Arabidopsis thaliana: one gene and its partner. The protein of the gene in region 2 interacts with the protein of the main gene of each other region in a biochemical or structural test. Each region holds a gene or a part of one and is shown on either strand. Other genes may lie near its edges.

Region 1 (10,912 bases), on a different chromosome or scaffold from region 2:
TCCTAACTGCTATCCTTCCAACATTCGTGTCAACCTTCATATCATCAATACAAGTTCCAGCTTAGTTAGCCGGAGTTATTCTAAGTTTTTAGTAGATAATGGAATAGTCTGACTCACAGGGAAAGCAAGATTGTGGAGTGTTAAGAGTCGCACGCATTCAACACTTTTCAAACCCAGACCTCTTATGCTCAAGAGATAGTCCCTGTGAAATGTTCATGAGCAACTTGTTAATACTCAGTTTGACGTAATTGTTGAGTAAATCGATCGTGCTAGTGTTGCAGTCACTAAAAATGTGATTTACCCACTTGGCTTTATCAGGAGGAGATTCTCTCAACCATTCAAGGTCGATACCACCATGATCTTTAACTATCCGTTCTAGGAAATCCTGCAATGTTGTAAATATGGTTACATAATTTACTGATGTTCAAGCCTTCTGACAGATTTGATGAGGGTCTCAACTGAAATTAGTAGATTTACCTTAATTCGTACGGCCAACATGTTATTCATCCCTCTTTCCTTGATAGCCTCAGAAATCTCGCTGATACTAGCACGTCTTATTGCTTCATAGTCTATGGAATCCATATTGTTTTTGTTTCGTTCCTGTCTCCCTTCATTCCCCTCCACATCTTTTCTGAGACTATCCCACTGGCTTGTAGGCTTTTTCCCATCAGCAAGCGTCCCTTTCATCTCTCGTAAAATAGTGGCATTTGTCTCCTTGTATTCAACTGCCGTCTGCTCTTTATTGCTGGAATTTGATTCGACCAATATGTTCTGTAAGCTTGAATTGTTACTGAGCGGATCAACCACGTCTTCAGCAGTTCTATCTCTCGGTAGACAGCCATCCGTGATGTTCTGTTTGGTACTGGACTGTCTTGTAAGGCATTCTTCAGAGGAGTTGAGCAGATCCAAAAATGTTTTTTGTAAATGGGATGCTTTATTCATCTCATCTTGTTGATTATGTTGGGTATCGTCCTGGTGTTCTTGGACGGCGCTTGAGGAACCGGACAATCCCATTCCTGGTAATTCATGAGGCGTTGATGGTATGATCTGACCTGTGAATTCTCTTGGAACACTTCCACCTTGTCTGAAAAACCTGCGTGGTACATTTTTGTTCTTTACTCTGTCAACTCTTGGTGAGATGGACATCCAAGAATAACCAAGGCCTTCACCTTGCATTCCAAAATCCTCTATGTCTAGTACATGTGGCTGTCGAGTCGCACACTGCTCATAGCTGCTGGAAGGAGTTGTTTGCCAATTAGTATCATTTCTTGGCTGACCAAAACAGACAGAGTCTTTCCAATTCATTGTTTTTTCAAGATCAGGTTTCTTCTGAGCGACATTTGTAGTTTCTTGTTTCTGAACATCACCAGATCCTTCATATAGATGCGGTCTCTCATTCCCTTGAAGACAAATTTCATCAGACAAGTTTGGGCTCCCAGTTTGCACTGATTGTGATGTTCCACTGACAGTTTTTGTTTCACACCTGGTTGTAGGAAACTCTGCGTCTGATTTGGAACATGAACAGGATCCAACTCTCCCACACGACTGAAATATCGCCGGATCAAAAGAATCTTGTGATGATAATACTTCCTCTTCTAAATTTTGAATACTCTTCTCTAAGAAATTAAATCTTTCAATTCCAGAGTTTGAACAGTCCCTTAGCTGCTCTTTTGATCCACTATCAACCCCAGAAACTTCCATGTCAGATGGATGTTGAACCTTTTCCTGCCACGAAGGAATTTCATTTAAGTTCAGAATGCATCCTTCTGGATCTTCAACAACTACGCTTCTAACATTCCTTTCATCTTCTCGGCTGCTGCTTAATTTTGGAGGGAATCGAGCAGCTAGAGACATGAACGCAGAGCTGCATTGTAAAACCACCATGGGTTAATTTCTATGTTTTGGAACTCAATTTATTAAGGCAACTCATATACCTTGAAAGGTGATCCGAGACATTCTGTGTAAGGAAAACTCCAATGACCGAATCAACCACCGATCCCTTCCATGGCGAAAAACGTCTATCTCCTGTAAACGTTTAAGTTCAATTGGTCATCTATAGCAGTAAAAGAAATAATAGGCACATAAACCATTCAGCTGTCACCATAAATGCACACCTGTTCTTCACAAGATGCATTATGAATATTATTTGACATGGTTAACTAGTGAATTTTAAAATTTTGCAAACAAAACATCATTTTTGAGTATTCTACTAATTTGTGTGAATAAAAATGGAGTTGAGAAGAGAAGTGGATCTTCACCTTGTACCAGGTGCATGCGAGCGATGAAGGAATCAGCCCTTCCTCGGAAGACTCTTCTTTCTTCTTCCCACCACTTCTCTTTCTTTTTATCCTTCTCTTCATCCCCTTCTTTTTCATCTCCTTTCCCCATCAGTAAGTTCCATATGCGAGTTGTTTCATCGTCAATGTCAACTTTGGGTCTTGGTTTTCGCTTCTTGCTCTCATAGGGAACAAGTGCACCATCTCCTTTGTACAAGACCATTGCATTTTGCTCTTGTTCTCTTTCTTTGTCTCCTAGATACAGATTTTGCATCCTGTAAATTATTTCCGCAATAGAATCCTGACACAGAAGTTCTCCTGATGGACCTATACAACGCACCAACAGTGATAAGGAGCTGGTTTGGACACATCAGTTACTAAAATCTCAAAATTATATCACAGAGATTGTAGAATACATTAGTTACCTCTTGCTTTTCCTGAATCTTGTATGGACTTTCTCCCTTTTCCTTTAGGCTTGCTTCTTGATAAAGGTGTCTTTGGAGGAGTAGGTTGCCAAAGCTGGATCTCTGAGGCATGAGCAGGCGGAGGTACTGATTTTTTTCTACCTGCTCGACCCTTTTTTGCAGGCGTTTTTGGGACAATACATTTCTCCTTTTCTGCTGTCTTTTTAACTGGAGACGAGTTTCCTTTAGATGCACCTTTACTGATGCTGGCAGTATTTTTACCTTTTCTTGCCCCATCAGTTGGATCATCCTCGATTTCTATAACCTCAGGTGGCATGCCATGCAAATTTTCTTGGACTACTTTCTGGATTTTCGTTTTCTTTGCAGCATCTAAATATTCCACACACGTGCTGCTGTTATGTCTCTCCACATCTTGTGATTGAGCAATCTGTTGAGCTAAGTTTAGATCATGCTTTTCCGTCTGTCCCATTGCACGATGATACTGTCTCTTCGAGCCCCTGGCTTCCTCAAGTTTAGCCATAATTGGAGTTGGCAGAGAAGAGTTTTGAGGTAACGCTTTCTTGCACCCATTACCATTGGATATCTCATGAGAAAGTATGTACTTATTTCCTTGATGGATATCTTGCTGTAAAGAATCGTATGCAGGAGCCCTGCTTCTCTGGCATGTACCTGTAGTCCCATTCAAAATCCTGGAAACAGATTCCACATGTAGATATGTTGTAGGAACTTGTGACTGAGAATGAGGTCGAAGCCCAGGCGATGACATGCTGGTAGCTACCATCTGATTCAAGTGAGTAAAACCTTTTGGAGTTGCAGGTTGCTGGTCAATCAAAGGTACGCAAGGCTGCTGGCCTCTTATTAATGATCCAGGTTGCTGGTTTTTTATCAGTAGTCCATGTTGTTGCCCTCCGGTTGACATAACAAGTTGATGCATGTCTGTAGGTGATCCATATAGCTGATTTCCAGCAGGTAAACAAGTCTGGTGATTCAAAAATATAGGCCGCTTGTTTCCTTGGGGACCTCCTAGTTGCTGGTTTCCACTTACTAATGCAGGCCGTGGAGTTCCTATCAGATACATAGGTTGTTGATTACCCATGGCCAAGCAAGGCTGCTGGTTTCTTATGGTCATGCGAGGTTGCTGGTTACCAAATGGAAAGCCAATAAGTTGGTTTTTCATCTGAAGCCAAGCTTGTTGGTTTTCCATTGGGAACTGGGTGTTCTGGGTTGCCACTGGGAACTGGCATTGCTGGTTTCTAGTCAATAAATCAGGTTGTTGGTCTCTGGCCAGTTTCGCTCCTGTAGATAGTTTATCTGGCTGGTTTCCCATTGACACTTCAAGTGGCTGGTTCATAGCCCCCAATCCATTGGTCTTGTCTATTTGTGACACTGAATCCAGGAAACTACCATTAGTTCCACCAATGGCATCTCTGATCTCAGAAAACGAGTTTGCGCCACTACTGTTCTGGACAATTTCAGACTCAGAGTCACCTTGCCTCGCATCTCCAGGATTCTCCAAGTCAAAATTCAAAGCTTTTCTGCAACTTTTGAGTGTGACTTCAGGGCTTTTGTTGCTCATATCTCCAACATTGGCTGGCTTTTTAGTTGCTGATTCTTTCAAATTTTTCTTTTTGGCACTCCCGGTTTCTTTAGATTTCACTTTTTCCTGAGTTGCAGCTTTGCGTGGCTTCCTTTTAGGTTTGCCTTCCACGACCACTTTGGGAAGTTCTGCAGGTTTGCGTGGCTTTCTTTTAGGTTTGCCTTCCACGACCACCTTGGGCATGAACTTCCTTTTCCTTTTGGAGGGTTTCTGCTGAGGAGTTTTGTTAAGGTCGAACTCCAGAACATCTTGTCTGCTGCCATCATTTTGTTCAGTAGCTTCCGTCGCATTAACAGCAGACGAGTCCATAATGCTCTGCATACTTTTGTCAGATTTCGGCTCTGGGATTTCATGTCCAGTAGTTGTAACTATCTGTTCAAGGAATCCAGTCTTTTCACCTGTTCTGAACAGACTGGGCGTTGACGGTACATATTGAAACGAACTTTCACAGACTGACCCAACTGCTTCTCTTCTAATTGGTGAATTCAAATTGTAAAGAGGCTTGTTACACGCTGGAGGTCCATCTGTTCAAAACCATGACTTTCTTAAGATATTCTAATTCATGTTCTACTCTAAGTACTGCAAGAACGGAAGAAAGGGAAAAAAAAAAACTGAAAATAGATTTGATCACTCACATTGACGAACCTTGAATAAGCTATCCCCACCACTCAGCAAGCTTGTGAAGGAGAAGGGCATCTGATCAGGATTCAACAAGTCATCCAATTCAAACTCATTATAGCCAGCTTGAGAAGTGCCACTCTGGGTGAAAGGACCATTTACCATACCCACATCTGAAGTAAAATTTCCATTGACCGGCTCTACATTACCGGTGGTGTTTCTGATAACTGGTGCTAAAGGAGAAGTCACCTCACTCCTGCCCAAAAGATCTCTCTCACTATTACTCCAAGCTTGTGCATGTGATCCCGCTAAGCTATTGATCATCATACTTAAGTTGGTAACGCCCTGATGAGCACCATGATCAAAAACCCCATTATGATCCACACCAGTGTTGCAGAATCCCCTGTCTACAAATTCACCACCTGGAAACCCATTTAGATCCTGGTTTATCACTCTCTCATCTACCATCAGACTTGATCTAGGTTTTTTGGGTGTAAATGGAATCCAAGAACCCATGAACTCTTGTTGAGTTTGATTCTCCAAAGGAACTCGAAAATATCTATCCCCCGGATCAGCCCTCGAATTCATAACACACTTGATGAATCACTCCCCCTTCAAACCTTATCACTACCTCACCCCAAATAACACTCACCTAACTCTCCGAAAACTCTCTCCAAACACCAAAACAAAGCAACATGGACGAACACTCCTTTTTAATCTGACTTGGTTAGAGAAGGCGACATTAACTAAGAATCTGCACCATAAAATGCAATAAATGATTTTTTGTCAGATATTTTTCTCATCAACAAAACGAGAAACACATTGAATAGCGAAGAATTTTTTAGCTGGAAACGGTAAAAGAAGAGCGAATAAAGTAAGCAATGTTTATGGGGAAAGTGAAGATAAAAGCAAATCAGAGGTTTTTATTACGCAGAATCAAAATCAGGTGTTAATAGCTGAGATTTATGATCAGAAAACAGGAACATGTATTGATTAACATAAAAACCCAGTGATTCTTCTCGTGATCGGAAAATGTAACAGCTGGAAAATTTAGCAGAACAAATTCCAGATAAAAAAGGGAGAGAGAAAAAAAGGAAATAATATGTAAATAAACAGAAAATGGAGCTAAAAGCTCACCGATCTAAGCTTTCTGATTCTCAGGCGAGTCAATGCCGGAGAACACTGAGTCAGCTATGCCGTTAGAGATAGAGATAGAGAGAGAGTGTGGTGAGATGAAGAAGGAATAAAGTGAAATATCAGTTGGCGTTAGCAATATGGGCCTGAGGCCCAAATTATATTCACGAGGACGTTGTTGCTTAAGTGTATTTTGTTGTTAATTGTCATTAGTCCTATTAAAATGGTTTAGTTTGCAAGTTTTCAGATAAAGCAACAACGCTAAACCCAACTTTTGTTGGTTATAAGTTATAACTTATAAATGTTCATTAGAATCTTACTAAATTTAATGTTTTGGTCTTCTTCCTATATTTAGATTTTAAAGTATGTCAACACGATTTTTAAATGAAATTTAATGTTGCAAACTTGCTTCTTCATGCCAACATTTGACCGAATTACATAAAGGAAGTTCAATGCTAAAATCGTATTTTTGTAAAACGCTCATAATCACTATTTTCGCTAGAGTATCTAATAATTTCCATATATTCATGAAATTAATTTGAAATTTGACACAAAATTCTCGTATTTTTTTAACGTAAATAAAGGTATAACACCGAACTCGTATTTTACGACTATGTTCGTTTCTAATTGCACCAAACTGATAAAATTGTAGTCACCAATTAATTACTCCGTTAGTGTATTAAACTAATATTATTTGACCCATTTGGAATATAAACCCGACCCGAAAGTTAATGAAATTGTATAAACGACAAGTTTCCGCGTGGAAGCCATTAATGATTGTGACGGATCTCTTCCTACCCCCAATCAGTTTCAATTTAGTCCTTCATCTTTCGGGATAATCCTATTTTAAACCAATGAAAGGATTTCTGGTCCCATATAGTTTATTGGGTGCTGCTCCTTTATTTTTCTTGGTATTTTATTTGACTCCCATACATTTAGATTTATTCGCATTGACCCCCACAGCAAGAGACCATAAGTCACGTTACGAATCTTAAAAAAATTTCGTCTAAAGGTAGTCACGAAACATTATTATGAGATTCTTGCTATGTTTGAGAATTATATCCCTCGGAAGAAAATTCAGTTGACGATATATCAATAATCAATGTATTTTTGTTCTTAGTCAACATTGTAGTAATGAAAATACGATTTTTTAAAGTAATGTTTGTGACAATGAATAGCAAATTATATCATCATAATTACAGAAAATATACATATCTTTAAGGTTTTTCCTTGAAACAAGAAGAACTCTTGACATTATTATAGCTAACACGAGTCTGAAGAATTAATCTCAGTGAATTTATATTTTAAACAGTTACATATCTTTTGAGATTTTTGTACAAATGTTCATATACCAAAATAAAGAGATTAAGAATCTGTTGACTTATTCTTTCTTTTGATAATTATATCGGTTAACTTTTCTTACCATCGGTAAATTAATACTTTGATTGAGAATTTGAGATTAGATACAATTGGTCTACGTTTTGGAATCTAGTGACATATTTGGTGTATTAGGAGGTTTTTCAAATAAAGTGAGCGTTTCATAATCATGAGTATGTAGTTATCCCATACTCGTAAAATATTATGGCAAGAAGGAAAAAATAGCATCCTCCAACAAGTAACAATCCACTCAACACCTTTTTAGAAACTTCCATATAAATAATACTACATGTAGTATATATTGGAAATATCGCTTTCGCATTGACAAGTTCAACGTCAATCAAGCTAGTTAGGTCAACTTTTCCCTAACGTTTTTGTTAAGTTAAAACTATTTGATATGTTTATTTTGTTTTGGTTCTATATGGAAATTAAAGATAGATATTACAGAATTATGCATTATTAAATGTATTTTAATTGATAGATAAATGTATTTAATTTCGCAAAATTTAAAACTTTCGATATGAGTATATATTTTTAAAGGTACGTATGTACATCTACTATTTGTTTTTTTTTAACTACCAACCTATTTGAGTTTGTTAAAATTCCTAGTTTAAATGCATTATGGATGTTTTTTTGGGCTAATTGTTGAGTAAGGAGTTATCGTTTCTATATAACTTTCATATATATATATATATATATATATATATATATATATATATATTTTAAGGATTGTGAATGCAATACTTTTAAGTTTTAAATGTGTTACAATTTAGGATATTTGTCGTGATTAGAGATGGTCCTAAAAAATCTATGGACTTAATTAAAACCAAATATTATGCCCATTAACTAATTATTGATTTTTTGAAAGAAAAAGATTTGAAAACAAAAAGTCTACAAGGGAGAGAGAGTTGAACTCCCGGCTTTAATAAGCTAAAGGAAAGATTTTGTGATCCTAAGAAGACATTTTTGAGGTTTGCTCAATCATTTCTATTTTAAGATCAAAACTGTCATTGATTGTGATCACATGTATTGTTTAGTTATTAACTTGTTTTATATAAGTTCGACCTTTTGGATGGTAATCTCTCATCATATTAAAATACATTTTTTGTTATGAATATATATTCCATGAAAATGTAACATAAGAAACAAAAACAACATTATATCTTAATTTTTTTCCTTTCAAATTACATGAAATTTGAAAGTTTGATACAATAATGAAACTTATGATATAGAAATCCTTCTTTTCTTTTTGATTTCAGCAAAATTACACCATAGTTTTAGAAATTATAAATGTTTTGATTTTTTTTTGGAGAGACGGTTATTGTCAACCTTTTAAGTGTCAAAAGTGACTTTTTTTATTATAATTTCATAGAAATTTTGTTAAAATGATTTATCATATATTTGAGTTTCTTTATAGATATGTTATATACACATAAATAAGTTTGTAGCAGTTTACTATTTTTTTTAGAAATTCTGCTTTCACGTTTTCAACTGCTTAGCTTTTAATTCTATAAGTAATATGAATTCTTTCTTTCTTTTTTAATAGAAAATACATAAATTTGCTGTGGTCTGTTCTGATTTTTCTTGGAGAAAAAGGCAGGTAAATTGTCAAACACTTTAGGATCGAAAAGTGACAATCAAAAAAGTTTGAGGCAAAATAAGCAAATAGTCTGAAAATAAAGTAGTAAAGAAAAAGGCAAATATAGGATTCTTTCTTTTAAACACGACGACGAACTTGACTCGCTCAGTCTCTCTCTCTCTTTATCTCTCCACAATTTGCTGCTTTAACCTCTCTCTCTCTCTCTCTCATCACACCATGTGGGATGTGGCTATAGCAGTCTTCACTGCATCTTCCTCCTCACTTTCTTCTCTCTCTTTCTCTTAATTTCTTTTTTTCCAGATTTTTCTCTGATTCCCATCTTTTCCCTCGAATGATCGGTAAGATTCTCTCTTCCTTCTCCCACTGTTTCATTCTTACGCGCTTTGTGGTTTTCACTGTTCCCGTGTCGGCTCTATATCTTCTCGATTTTGCCGACAATTCCAATTTCAAATCATGGGTCTTTTACTAAATTCGATGTTGGTAGCTTTAAGCTTCGAGAACCGATTTAGAGGGTTGGTTGAATTTGGGCGTTTCTCTCTAACTTGAGCTCTGTAGCTAGATTTCCCCAATTTCAATTCCTTTTTGCTTGTGTACGAGTTACTTCTTGCTGTTTTCTTGAGATTTCAATCGTGGGTCTGGTTTTTTATTGTGAAATTTGGAAGCTTTTTGGTGTTGATAGTATTGGTTTATTGCAGGTTGAGAGAAGATGGTTTCAGAGACTTGGTTTCGTAATCTGTGGAGGTTTCCAAAGAAACATGATGGTCATAAAGATAAGGCGGTTCTAGGAGTATTAGCGTTTGAGGTTGCGAGTTTGTTGTCGAAGCTTGTTCATTTGTGGCAGTCATTAAGTGATAAGAATGTTGCAAGGCTTAGGGACGAGATTACACATTCCACTGGTATAAAGAAGTTAGTTTCAGAAGATGATGATTTTATTGTGAGGTTAATACGTGATGAAATGATGGAGAACGTTGAGAATGTAGCGAAAGCTGTGGCTAGGCTTGCGAGGAAATGCAACGATCCCAAGTTGAAGTGCTTTGAGAATTGTTTTAGTGATATGATGAAGACTGGAGCTGACCCTTATGGTTGGCAGTTTGGGTGGAAGAAAATGGATAAGAAAGCTAAGAAAATGGAACGTTTCATATCATCTAATGCTAGTCTCTACCAGGAGACTGAGATTCTTGCTGATCTTGAACAGACTTTCAAGAGAATGAAGAGCAATGAATCTGCTACTGACAATCTTTTGGAGTATCAGAAAAAAGTTACATGGAAAAGACACGAAGTGAAGAATCTGCGGGATGTGTCTCTTTGGAACCGTACTTATGACTATACCGTCATTCTCTTGGTTAGATCAGTTTTCACAATCCTTAGCAGGACTAAACATGTTTTTGGCATTAGTTACAGAGTGGAAGCAAGTGATGTTAGCTCTGCAGATTCTGATTTTATTGGCCGCAGCCACTCCGTTTCTACTATTTTAACTCCTGTATCTCATAAATCTGAGTCTAGTGGTCTTCCTAGATTTGCTTCTGGCCCCCTTGGAAGATTTACCGGTCCAGCATCGGGTTCAGCTGCTACAAGGTCCACGAAGATGAGTGATTTCCTTTCGGGTTCTCTCAGCGCCGAATCACCTAAGTCAGGTCCTCTTGTTGCAGAAAAACACAAACGTTTCAAGTTTTACTCTGGTCAGCTTGGGAAGATCACCTCCAAATCAGGACCACTTATCGGAATGGGCAAAAACAACAAGAAGATGGGGCAGACCCCGGAAAGGCCTTCAATTTCCTCAGTGAAAAAGCAATTGAAAGCCAACCGATTAACACAGGTTGGCCCATTTAAAGGCTGTATGGTGTCTCACGATGGGATTACGCCTCTCAGCACTAGGGCCCGGAAT
Region 2 (10,097 bases):
TCATTGCAAACCCAAGGAGATACTGGAGCAAATTCATCAAGTTCATGGAATTACACTAACATACAAGCAAGCATGGAGGGGAAAAGAACGTATAATGGCTGCTGTTCGCGGGTCATATGAAGAAGATTATCGCCTTCTTCCTCGATATTGTGATCAAATTAGGAGAACAAATCCTGGGAGCGTTGCTGTGGTTCATGGAAGCCCAGTTGATGGGAGCTTCCAACAATTCTTCATTTCTTTTCAAGCATCAATCTGTGGTTTTCTAAATGCTTGTCGACCTCTTATTGGATTGGACAGGACTGTTTTGAAGAGCAAATATGTAGGGACATTGCTGCTTGCCACTGGGTTTGATGGAGAAGGTGCAGTGTTTCCTTTGGCTTTCGCTATTATTAGTGAAGAAAATGATAGTAGCTGGCAGTGGTTCCTCTCAGAATTGCGTCAGCTGCTTGAAGTTAATTCCGAAAACATGCCAAAGCTGACAATTTTATCTAGTAGAGATCAATCCATTGTCGATGGAGTAGATACTAATTTTCCAACGGCGTTTCATGGCTTGTGTGTCCATTGTCTCACAGAAAGCGTCCGTACTCAGTTCAACAACTCCATTCTTGTGAACCTTGTTTGGGAAGCAGCAAAATGTCTGACCGACTTTGAATTTGAAGGAAAAATGGGAGAGATAGCCCAGATATCCCCAGAAGCTGCCTCGTGGATTCGTAACATCCAGCACAGTCAATGGGCCACATACTGCTTTGAAGGAACAAGGTTTGGACATCTGACTGCAAATGTTTCCGAGTCACTTAATAGTTGGGTTCAAGATGCGTCAGGTCTTCCTATAATCCAAATGTTGGAGAGTATTCGTCGCCAACTAATGACTCTGTTCAATGAACGCCGTGAAACAAGCATGCAATGGTCTGGTATGCTAGTTCCATCTGCTGAGAGACATGTCCTTGAGGCTATAGAAGAATGTCGTTTGTACCCAGTTCACAAAGCAAACGAAGCACAATTCGAGGTCATGACCAGTGAAGGAAAATGGATAGTGGATATTAGATGCCGTACGTGTTACTGCCGTGGATGGGAGTTATACGGTTTGCCTTGTAGCCACGCAGTTGCAGCCCTCCTCGCTTGTAGACAGAACGTATACAGGTTCACAGAGAGTTACTTCACTGTAGCAAATTACCGGCGAACTTACGCAGAAACCATACATCCAGTTCCAGACAAAACTGAGTGGAAAACAACAGAACCTGCCGGAGAAAGTGGTGAGGATGGTGAAGAGATTGTTATCAGACCACCTAGGGATTTAAGACAACCACCACGGCCAAAGAAGAGGAGAAGTCAAGGAGAGGACCGTGGACGTCAAAAGCGGGTTGTTCGATGTAGCCGGTGTAATCAGGCTGGCCATTTCAGAACAACTTGCACAGCTCCTATATGAAAAACATATGACATCTCTCTTTAGATTCTTTACTTCTTCTCTGATCTGAATTTATTATTTCTTATACTTAGGTTTAGAATATTATTTTCAAAGCCTTTCTCTGTAACTCATTTTTCCAATAGATATCCAATGACAGATTCTTCTTATGTTATAGCCTTAACGAATAGATTTTATAAAACCATTGCCAAAACACTATTATATCATACATTGGGGATGAGAGTTTGGTTATTAAAACAAAATGGTGAGTCAAATCACACAAAAAGCAAACTAAGAAACTTCCGGAGTAATAGGACTCAAAGCTATTTTAGTACAACACACGTGGAGAAAGCAGATACATTGTCTCGTAACAGAAAACAAACTCAAGAATGGACCCAATCTTAGAGTTCTAACAATCTTAATCTCATGTCTCTTGATGATCCCCAAAGCAAATCCAGATCAATGTGTGTTCCAGAGTTTAACAGCAACAACAACACGACGACCTTCGCACAGATTTTAGTAATCTCATCCATTGGCTTACTCTTAGCCCTTGCACTGCACTTCCGTCTAAGGAAGCTACGTCACTCCAAGAACATCCCTCGTCTCAGATCGTCTCAAAAACACAAAGGCCATGAGAAGCTTGAGAGATTCTCTCACTATGTTGGTAAAATCAATCTACATAGCTTCCTTGAAATCTTCCTGATCTTAGATTATGATGCATATTAAGGAAATGTTGTTTGTGTCTTTTGTAGTGCGGCAGATGGGATTCAAGGACAGGAGAGAATGTCCTCATCTCTGCAAATTAGCTAATGAGTACATAAGAAAATCAGGCAGCTGTGAGGAAGACATATACAGCTTCTTCTCTGAAGAGCCTGGTGCTGATTCTCTCTTCATTAAGCTCGTTGAAGAGTTTGAGAGATGTATTCTTAGTTACTTTGCTTACCACTGGAGCCATGCGGATCTCATGATCAGTCAGGTTACTAATAAACTTTCATTATCCCTTCTTTGTTATATTACTAATAGACCAAAAACATTTCAGATACTCAGTGCCGATGTAGAGCCTAAGAAGAAGCTAAAGCACATTGTCATGGCGGCTACAAGGTGAGTCTAAAAAACAAGTGTTCTCTTTAATGATTCTTCCCAAAATGATTGTTTGTTCCTTGGTTAATATATAGGGAACAGAGGTTTGAGAGGGTGACTAAAAATCTAAAAGTGGCAAGAGTGTTTAACACATTGGTAGAGGAAATGAAAGCAATGGGGATCGCATCTGTTGATGACTCAGAGTGTACAGAAGTTATGGCTCCAGTTGCACACAAGGACCGAAGCCCGGTTCTACTTCTTATGGGAGGTGGTATGGGTGCAGGAAAGAGCACTGTGCTTAAAGACATTCTCAAAGAGTAAGTAAAGTATCAACATATCTGTCATTAATCAGTGTTCTTATGCATTGAACCTGTACATGCTTGTGTGCTTTGGATCAGACCGTTTTGGGCAGGAGCTGATGCTGTGGTGATTGAAGCCGATGCTTTTAAAGAATCTGATGTGATATACAGAGCTTTAAGCGCCAGAGGTCATGTTGATATGATCAAGACTGCTGAATTCGTAAGGTTCTTTGTTTCCTTATAGGTTGCAATAAGAATCCTTAACGTAAAAAGAACCTGCAGAGCGACAAAATGTGCAAGGAATCAACTTCATATATACTGCATATTACCTTTGTTATACTCAATATCCAATGTTGTGAAACTCTGACGGTGAAATGGAAATAAAACAGGTTCACCAATCATCAACAGACGCAGCATCATCGCTGCTCGTTACAGCTCTCAACGAAGGGCGAGACGTGATAATGGATGGAACACTCTCTTGGGTACCATTTGTGGTTCAGACCATAACAATGGCGAGGAATGTGCATCGCCATCGTTACAGAATGGGAGCTGGCTACAAGGTTGGTGAGAATGGAGATGTTATAGAGAACTATTGGGAACGCATAGGCGAAAGGCAACAGCTTCAAGAAGATGGAAGGGAGAGAAAGCCATACAGGATAGAGTTAGTTGGAGTTGTATGTGATGCATATTTAGCAGTGATTCGAGGAATTAGGTGAGAATGTTCCAAGTGTTGGTCTTTAAAACAATTGTGTGTTTTCATAACATAAGGTTTTGGTTTACTATATATGCAGGAGAGCTATAATGTGTAGAAGAGCAGTTAGAGTGAGGTCTCAGCTGAGATCTCACAAGAGGTTTGCGAATGCGTTTCTTACCTATTGCAACTTAGTTGACAATGCTAGACTTTACTGCACCAATGCTCTTGAAGGTTCTCCAAAGGTTAAAATTTTCCTCCTGAAACGTTTTAAGTAATGAAAGTGAGGATCCATGGTGAACAAATGTGGTTTATGCAGCTGATAGGGTGGAAAGAGAAGGAAAAGACATTGCTAGTGGATCCAGAGGAGATAGACTGTTTGAAGAATGTAGGGAGGTTAAACGAGAATGCAGATTCTATTTACGAGCTATACAGAAATCCAAATCCTGCTTGTGAAGCTGGATCAATATGGAAAGACATTGTTCTTTCTCCTTCTAGGTTCAACATTCAACAAGAGCTCAAATACTCAATTCAGAAAGTGGAAAGATTCAAACAGTATCTCCAAGAAACACCAAGATGAGAGATGAAGATAGATAAACGCAGAAGATCTCTTAGCTTTTTTTTTCCCGGTATGTCATTCATTTATGTAACTCCTAAAACATCAAACAAAATTGAATCTCTCTAGTAAAGAGAGAATTGGCAACACCTAACCTAAGAGATAGTTACATTGTCAAGCTTGGTCTTAAGAGATGTTTAAGGAAGCAAATGTATGACATGATTCAGAGGAAAACATATGAATCTCACCTTAACATTGGTCAAGCTTGTTCTTAAGAGAGACCAGTTCCTTCAAAACCACAACTGAAGAATCCACAAAGACAATGATACAGTAAGACAGAACTAAACATGTGAATGTCATTTGCTTGAAATGGAAAGCTTCTATAACAGTTTCTGAACAAGTAAAAGAGTGAAGAAACCATCACATTATAGCTATTGATCAAAAAGCTTAAAATTCAAACAAACCAAAACTTACAAAGAAGAAAAAAAAAAGTTTCAAGAAGAAACCAAAGAAACAAGTAAAAAACTTTGGAAAGCAAGCTCCTTCAAGGATGATTCAATTATACAAGACTACCCTATAGAAGCTAACCACCACCATGTATTCAATCTCCCCCCAAAACCTATCCTAAACCAATCTTCTTCACTTCTTAGCCTTCCTAGTCGAAGCTCTCTTCGCCGGAGACTTCACCTTCACACTCTTAGCCGGAGCCTTCTTAGTCACAGCCACTTTCTTAGCAGGAGCAGCAACTTTTTTCCCTGGAGATGTTCTAGTCGAAGTCCTAGAAGCTTTAGCTGGTCTCTCCTTAGCCTTAGGCTTAGCAGCAACAGCTTTAGTCTTGGAAACAGCAGCAACAGACTTAGACTTAGGTTTAGCAGCAGTAACCTTAGCCTTAGGTTTAGCAGTAACCTTAGCCTTAGCAACAACTTTAGCCGCAGGCTTCTTAGTTCCTTTAGCCGCCGCTTTAGCTTTAGCAGGAGCAACAGCAGCAGCAACCTTACCCTTAGGTTTAGCTACTACAGTTGCCTTCTTCTTAACCGGAGCAGCCGGTTTAGGTGTTGCTGCGGATCTAGCAGAAGGAATCTTAAAAGAAGCTTTGACTTTAACCAATTTCTCAGAAGCAACAAGTCTCTTGAGATTCACAAGCAAAAGCTTCCTAAAAGTAGGAGGCAGTGATTTATGTTTCTCCTCTATGAATTTCTGAATCGCGTATTGACTAGATCCAGTTCTCTCCTTCAACGTTACAATCGCATCTTTAATCATCTGCATCGAATTCAAACAAAATTCAAATTCCAAATCTATGAATCTGATAAAAATTCAAAAAAAAAAAGTTTAGATCGAATATTGACCTCTTCATAGGTAGGGTGAGAGGAAGTTGTTTTCTTCTTCGTTGGAGCAGCAGCTTTCACAGGCTTCTTCGTTGCTTTAGCCGTCGTCGTCTTCTTAGATTTACCACCTTTCGCCGCCGGTTTCTTCTCCGGAGATTTCACCGTTGTATCGGCAGCTCCTGAGTCAACAGTCGTTGGAACGTTTTCTTCCTCTATAGACATCTTCTTCTCTCTCAGAAACTGATCTCTCTGTATTGATCGGAAGAAAATGTAATGCGTCGGAGAATTTTGTGATGAGGAGAAGGAGAAGAACTATGGGAATGATGTTTATATAGTCAGATGTGTTTATGAGACAGAGTTTGTAATCTCTTCTCTGATTGGTTAAAATGATGAGTACTCGGATCGGTGTATCAACTCAGGTTTGAATTTCAACCGTTGGATTTAAATCTATCGACGGTTTATAATTTAGGATTACGAATGTAAGGATGCGGAGGTTAATGGATGTGGATAGGTGCTTTTGTGTATTGTATTGGTGTGCTTTTAGCTTTGATTGATTTTATCATAACTTTTTGTTTACTTTATGGATTTTGATTTTGTTTTTTTCATTGTGTAGATAATTCTGTAAGGTTTTGTTTGAGTGTTTAATCGATTGAAATGGTTTTGTGTAGGATGAGAAAATGGGGATTGAAGCAAGGTTGGTCAAAACTATGGTTTGTTTTGATAGTATTACGGTATTTTTGGTTTTTTGGAGAATGCTTATGGTTTTTTTTTTAATGGTTATGTTCGTTGAAAACTAGACTAATCAAGGAGTGTAACGAACTATGATTTGATGAAATCGGATGAGTTTAAGGTGGAAAATTGTGTTGTTGAATCCGACCAAAGATGACCATCTTCTTGTGTGTGGTGCCACACAACTTGTTGCATGTGTGATGTGTCTCTCTTTAAGAGAGTCCTAACTAAGATAACCAAAGAGTAATGCGTTGGAACCATTTTACATATTTGAAAGTCATTACATCTTGAATTGAATCACAAAGTTTAAATTTGTTTTAAAATGTGGAATTAGTGAAGCATATGCGTATAATGATGATGTATGCAAGTATATGCATATAGCTTCTAAAAGCTTAAATGTAACTTTATTATTATCAATAATAGTATATGATATTCGTTAGCAAACATAAATCTTTGCTATGAATTTCGATTCAGGTAACATGTTGCTATGCCTATTCTTTAACAAATCAACATTGATGATAGTTAAACCGCGAGAAATTTCTGAACAAACATCAATATTGATTTGAGATTATAGGTTTATTATATATCATAGTTATAAAAAAGTTTATATTCATAAGGAAATTGTGAATTAGGCAAGTTTTCCTCTACTGAAATATACGTAAAGTCAAAAACCAATTCATATTAATACAAAATTTTATTCTTTCATCATCCATATATAACTAATATATTGAAACGAGACCAAAACAAAACGAAAACGAGTAATTGACATGAAACTAAGTTTGTCACCTTAATACTGTAGTTCTCCAACGAAGCAACGTTGGTGAGATCTTGTTATAAACCTATAATCACAAACCAATATTCATATCGGTATGAAATATTTTCGCATTTTCAATGATTTTTTCTTAGAAATATTATATAACATCTTCGACACGAATATATGTGTGAATATATGGCATATATGATTGATGCAAATAAGAGTTTCAAAGAAATGATTTAATTAGAAAATTTTCCTTATAGAGATATATACAGACAGTAAAAAATAACTTTCTAAATTAACTCTTCTTATCACATATATAACTGAAAATGTAACCAAAATACAAACTGGATCCAACTCATATATACGTCAAATGTTTTCCAATTCAAAATCTAACCCAACACAAATTAAGAACGCTAAATTGATCTATAGCTAAATGTCATTACACAAGTAAAAAGAAACCGTTTTGTAAAGTTATAATCAATCTGACCATAGTCTAATTATTTTCGTCACAAATATTTTCTAAACGATGATACTCTTAAATGTTAAAATTCAATCAATATATTTATACCCAAAACAAAGCCGCTAAGTAAGATAGGAACCTTTAACACAACCATAAATAGCTTGAGAGTAAACGTGTATGTAGACATTAATCCACCAATCTCTCGTTCAAAATTGATGCGTCCAAATGGTTTACTCTTGGATGTCACTAGTCATTTACATTTTTTACATTCACCAATGGAAGCTAATGTTGGTTTTTAAAATACTCGAACCATATTATCTAGAGTCTTCTAGACTATTCTATCACTTAACAAACATGCAGTTTGATTACGAGTTTTTCTCGTTACGGATTTAGTGATGAGCTAGTAAATGATTATTGATTGACAAAACTTATAATATGGTTAATGTTTTCCATCTACCATTTACGAAAAAGGTAACAAATTTTTGTCACTAATCTTTCGATAAACACAAGTATGCAATTTTATTTTTATTTTTTGTATTCTCTACATATGCTAAGAATCTTAATTAAAACAATAAGACCTTACACTAGTTTTGATTATTTAGAATACTTATCCACATCCCTTACTTTCAGTACAAATGTCATCTTCATTCTTCCCTAGACATTATTTAAGAAATATTTACGAAATTTTACGAAATCAAATTAATAATTGTCATTGAGACATTTAAAAGTTTATCACTAAACTAATTCCCTAATTAGGGATAAATTTTCATTTCTTATGACATACAAACAGAAACGTGAAACACGTAGGCCCTCTTTGTTAACCTCCTCACATTAATAATTTGTCGTAAACATCCTCACATTAACACTTCGTGAATGTTTAGTTCTAAAGAGAAGAAAAACTTTAAATATGTTTAGCATATATTTAGTTAACTTTGTTCTATGAAATTTAAAGTAATTCTTTTTGTCTTATGACATTTAAAAGTTTATCACTAAATTATAAGCTATTTGATCTACCTTAATTAATTTTTGAATTACTTGATTTTTTTTGTCACATAATTAATTTTATATTTATAAAGAGTATATAAATAACATATGATTTGGATACTATTGGTGGATTATTTTGAGGATTTTCAATTGTACACCTCTAGAAATACAAATAAAATAAAAATACATTTTGGTCGTAGATTGTACAAGCATTGATTTTTCGATACAAATTTTGTCATCAATATCTTCAAGATTTTCCGCGGAGCAGTCCCGAGACATGCGTTTAACATGTGAGTGACACATCTTAACATGCGTTTCAAGATTCTAGCTCTGGATCTTCACACTGAACAGTTTCGTGATGTCCCAACACCGCCCACACCCCGGGAACCGAGCGAGCTAGTTAACCTTGAAGATCGTCTAGCCTTGGTTAAAACATATTATGGAGTTTCTCATTGGGAAGTAAGGATATGGAGCTTGGATCCACAGGAAGATACATGGACCAAGACGTACTCATTTTGTTTATTCCCTAGAGCTCTTCACCCTTGGATATGGAGGTTGTGGTGTAGACCAGTGACAGTTTCTAAGCAAGGGAATCTTTTCTTCCATGACAGTGAAAAGAGGCTGTTCAAATATAATCCAGAAACAAACGAAGTCCATTTTATCGCTGCAGACATTCGTGTTTTATCTCATTTCGTAGAGAATATGGTTCCACTTCGACATTCGGATTCTGCTCCAAAGATTGTGACATACCCTTCTACACATCATTTGCCGCCGGACTCATGGATGTCCAAATGCTTTAAAAGATTCGAGCGGTTCCCAAACATTTTGCTTACCACAACTCTTGTGGCTTTTGTCATTTTTCGCTTTTCGTCTAGGTCTTGATTTTACTCTGTTGTGATACTTTTTTTTGTCAAAAAAGAGTCTGCTTCGTCAGTTTTATGCAAGAGATTCTTAAACCGAGTCATAAAAAACAAAGTATAACTCATTACTCCACAGCCATAGGCCAAATCTCTTGTATAAAAACCAAAACAATCTAACTGGAATCAAGTTTAACATATATTGAGAAACACTTTCAGGTTCAAAGATCACTGTAGTACAAGAACAAAAGGTAAACAGGATAAACGTCAAAAACGTGTGTAGTAGAAACAGTCAAAAGGTCATTCATTGCAGAGCGCTTCAACGGAAGTAACCGTAGAGCTCCAAGTAGCAAATGCAAAAGTTCCACGGAGTTGATGTATCTGCAGTTGGACCGGTCAGAACCAGCCTGAAAAACCTAAAGGGGAGTAATGCATTTGCTGCGGTGATTGGCCATGATGCAAACTGACCGGCCTTGCACATTGTTTGGTCATCCTCATGGACTCTCAAGTCTGTCCATGTTTTCCCATCCATCGATCCCTTCAAACCCATCAAGACAACGACAACACAAAACTTTCCTAAGCACCTCTTGTCTTAAGAAGACAGGAAATAATTGTAGCAAAAATAAGATACCTGAAACTTCCAGAATCTTGTGAATGCTCTTGATCCGTCTTGTCTGAAGGTGTAATAGTTGCACATAAGCTGCAACCAAAAATCCTCACCGTGTTATATTATTTTCAGAACTTAAAGTAAATGTTGTTTTACTCAAATACATTTTCTCTTATTTCTGCGAGTATGGGTTACATATGGAGCATTTAGACCGTTTGTGTCTTTATGAGAACAGAGTATGTAGAAAGAGAAGTTATGGAGGAGACCTGATGTTCTTCGCCTAAGTCCACCACCCACCAGGATGATATATGGCCGTCTTCCATCCTAGGCCCTGCAAAGGAAGTACCCTG

Evidence for each region.
Region 1: the proteins of AT2G30620 (region 2) and DME form a complex in vitro, tested with the Arabidopsis thaliana proteins (one study listed by BioGRID).

Annotation. Positions count from the first base shown.
Region 1 is NC_003076.8:1,304,378-1,315,289, reverse strand, and holds the start of DME (HhH-GPD base excision DNA repair family protein), read right to left. Parts: upstream 6,177-10,912; 5' UTR 6,054-6,176; exon of another isoform or gene 5,671-6,053; 5' UTR 5,505-5,670; coding exon 4,934-5,504; exon of another isoform or gene 4,823-4,933; coding exon 2,702-4,822; intron 2,604-2,701; coding exon 2,259-2,603; intron 2,026-2,258; coding exon 1,935-2,025; intron 1,865-1,934; coding exon 478-1,864; intron 386-477; coding exon 306-385; intron 203-305; coding exon 118-202; intron 35-117; coding exon 1-34. Other genes in the region: AT5G04550 (type-1 restriction enzyme mjaxp r protein (DUF668)), read left to right, coding at 9,734-10,912. UniProt on the Arabidopsis thaliana protein: Transcriptional activator involved in gene imprinting. Catalyzes the release of 5-methylcytosine (5-meC) from DNA by a glycosylase/lyase mechanism.
Region 2 is NC_003071.7:13,040,838-13,050,934, reverse strand, and holds AT2G30620 (winged-helix DNA-binding transcription factor family protein), read right to left. Parts: upstream 6,005-10,097; 5' UTR 5,576-6,004; coding exon 5,375-5,575; intron 5,289-5,374; coding exon 4,668-5,288; 3' UTR 4,253-4,667; downstream 1-4,252. Other genes in the region: AT2G30630 (P-loop containing nucleoside triphosphate hydrolases superfamily protein), read left to right, coding at 1,829-2,066, 2,155-2,503, 2,578-2,799, 2,881-3,001, 3,171-3,493, 3,573-3,717, 3,792-4,052; AT2G30615 (F-box/LRR protein), read left to right, coding at 8,593-9,165; AT2G30600 (BTB/POZ domain-containing protein), read right to left, coding at 9,460-9,678, 9,772-9,840, 10,014-10,094. UniProt on the Arabidopsis thaliana protein: Histones H1 are necessary for the condensation of nucleosome chains into higher-order structures.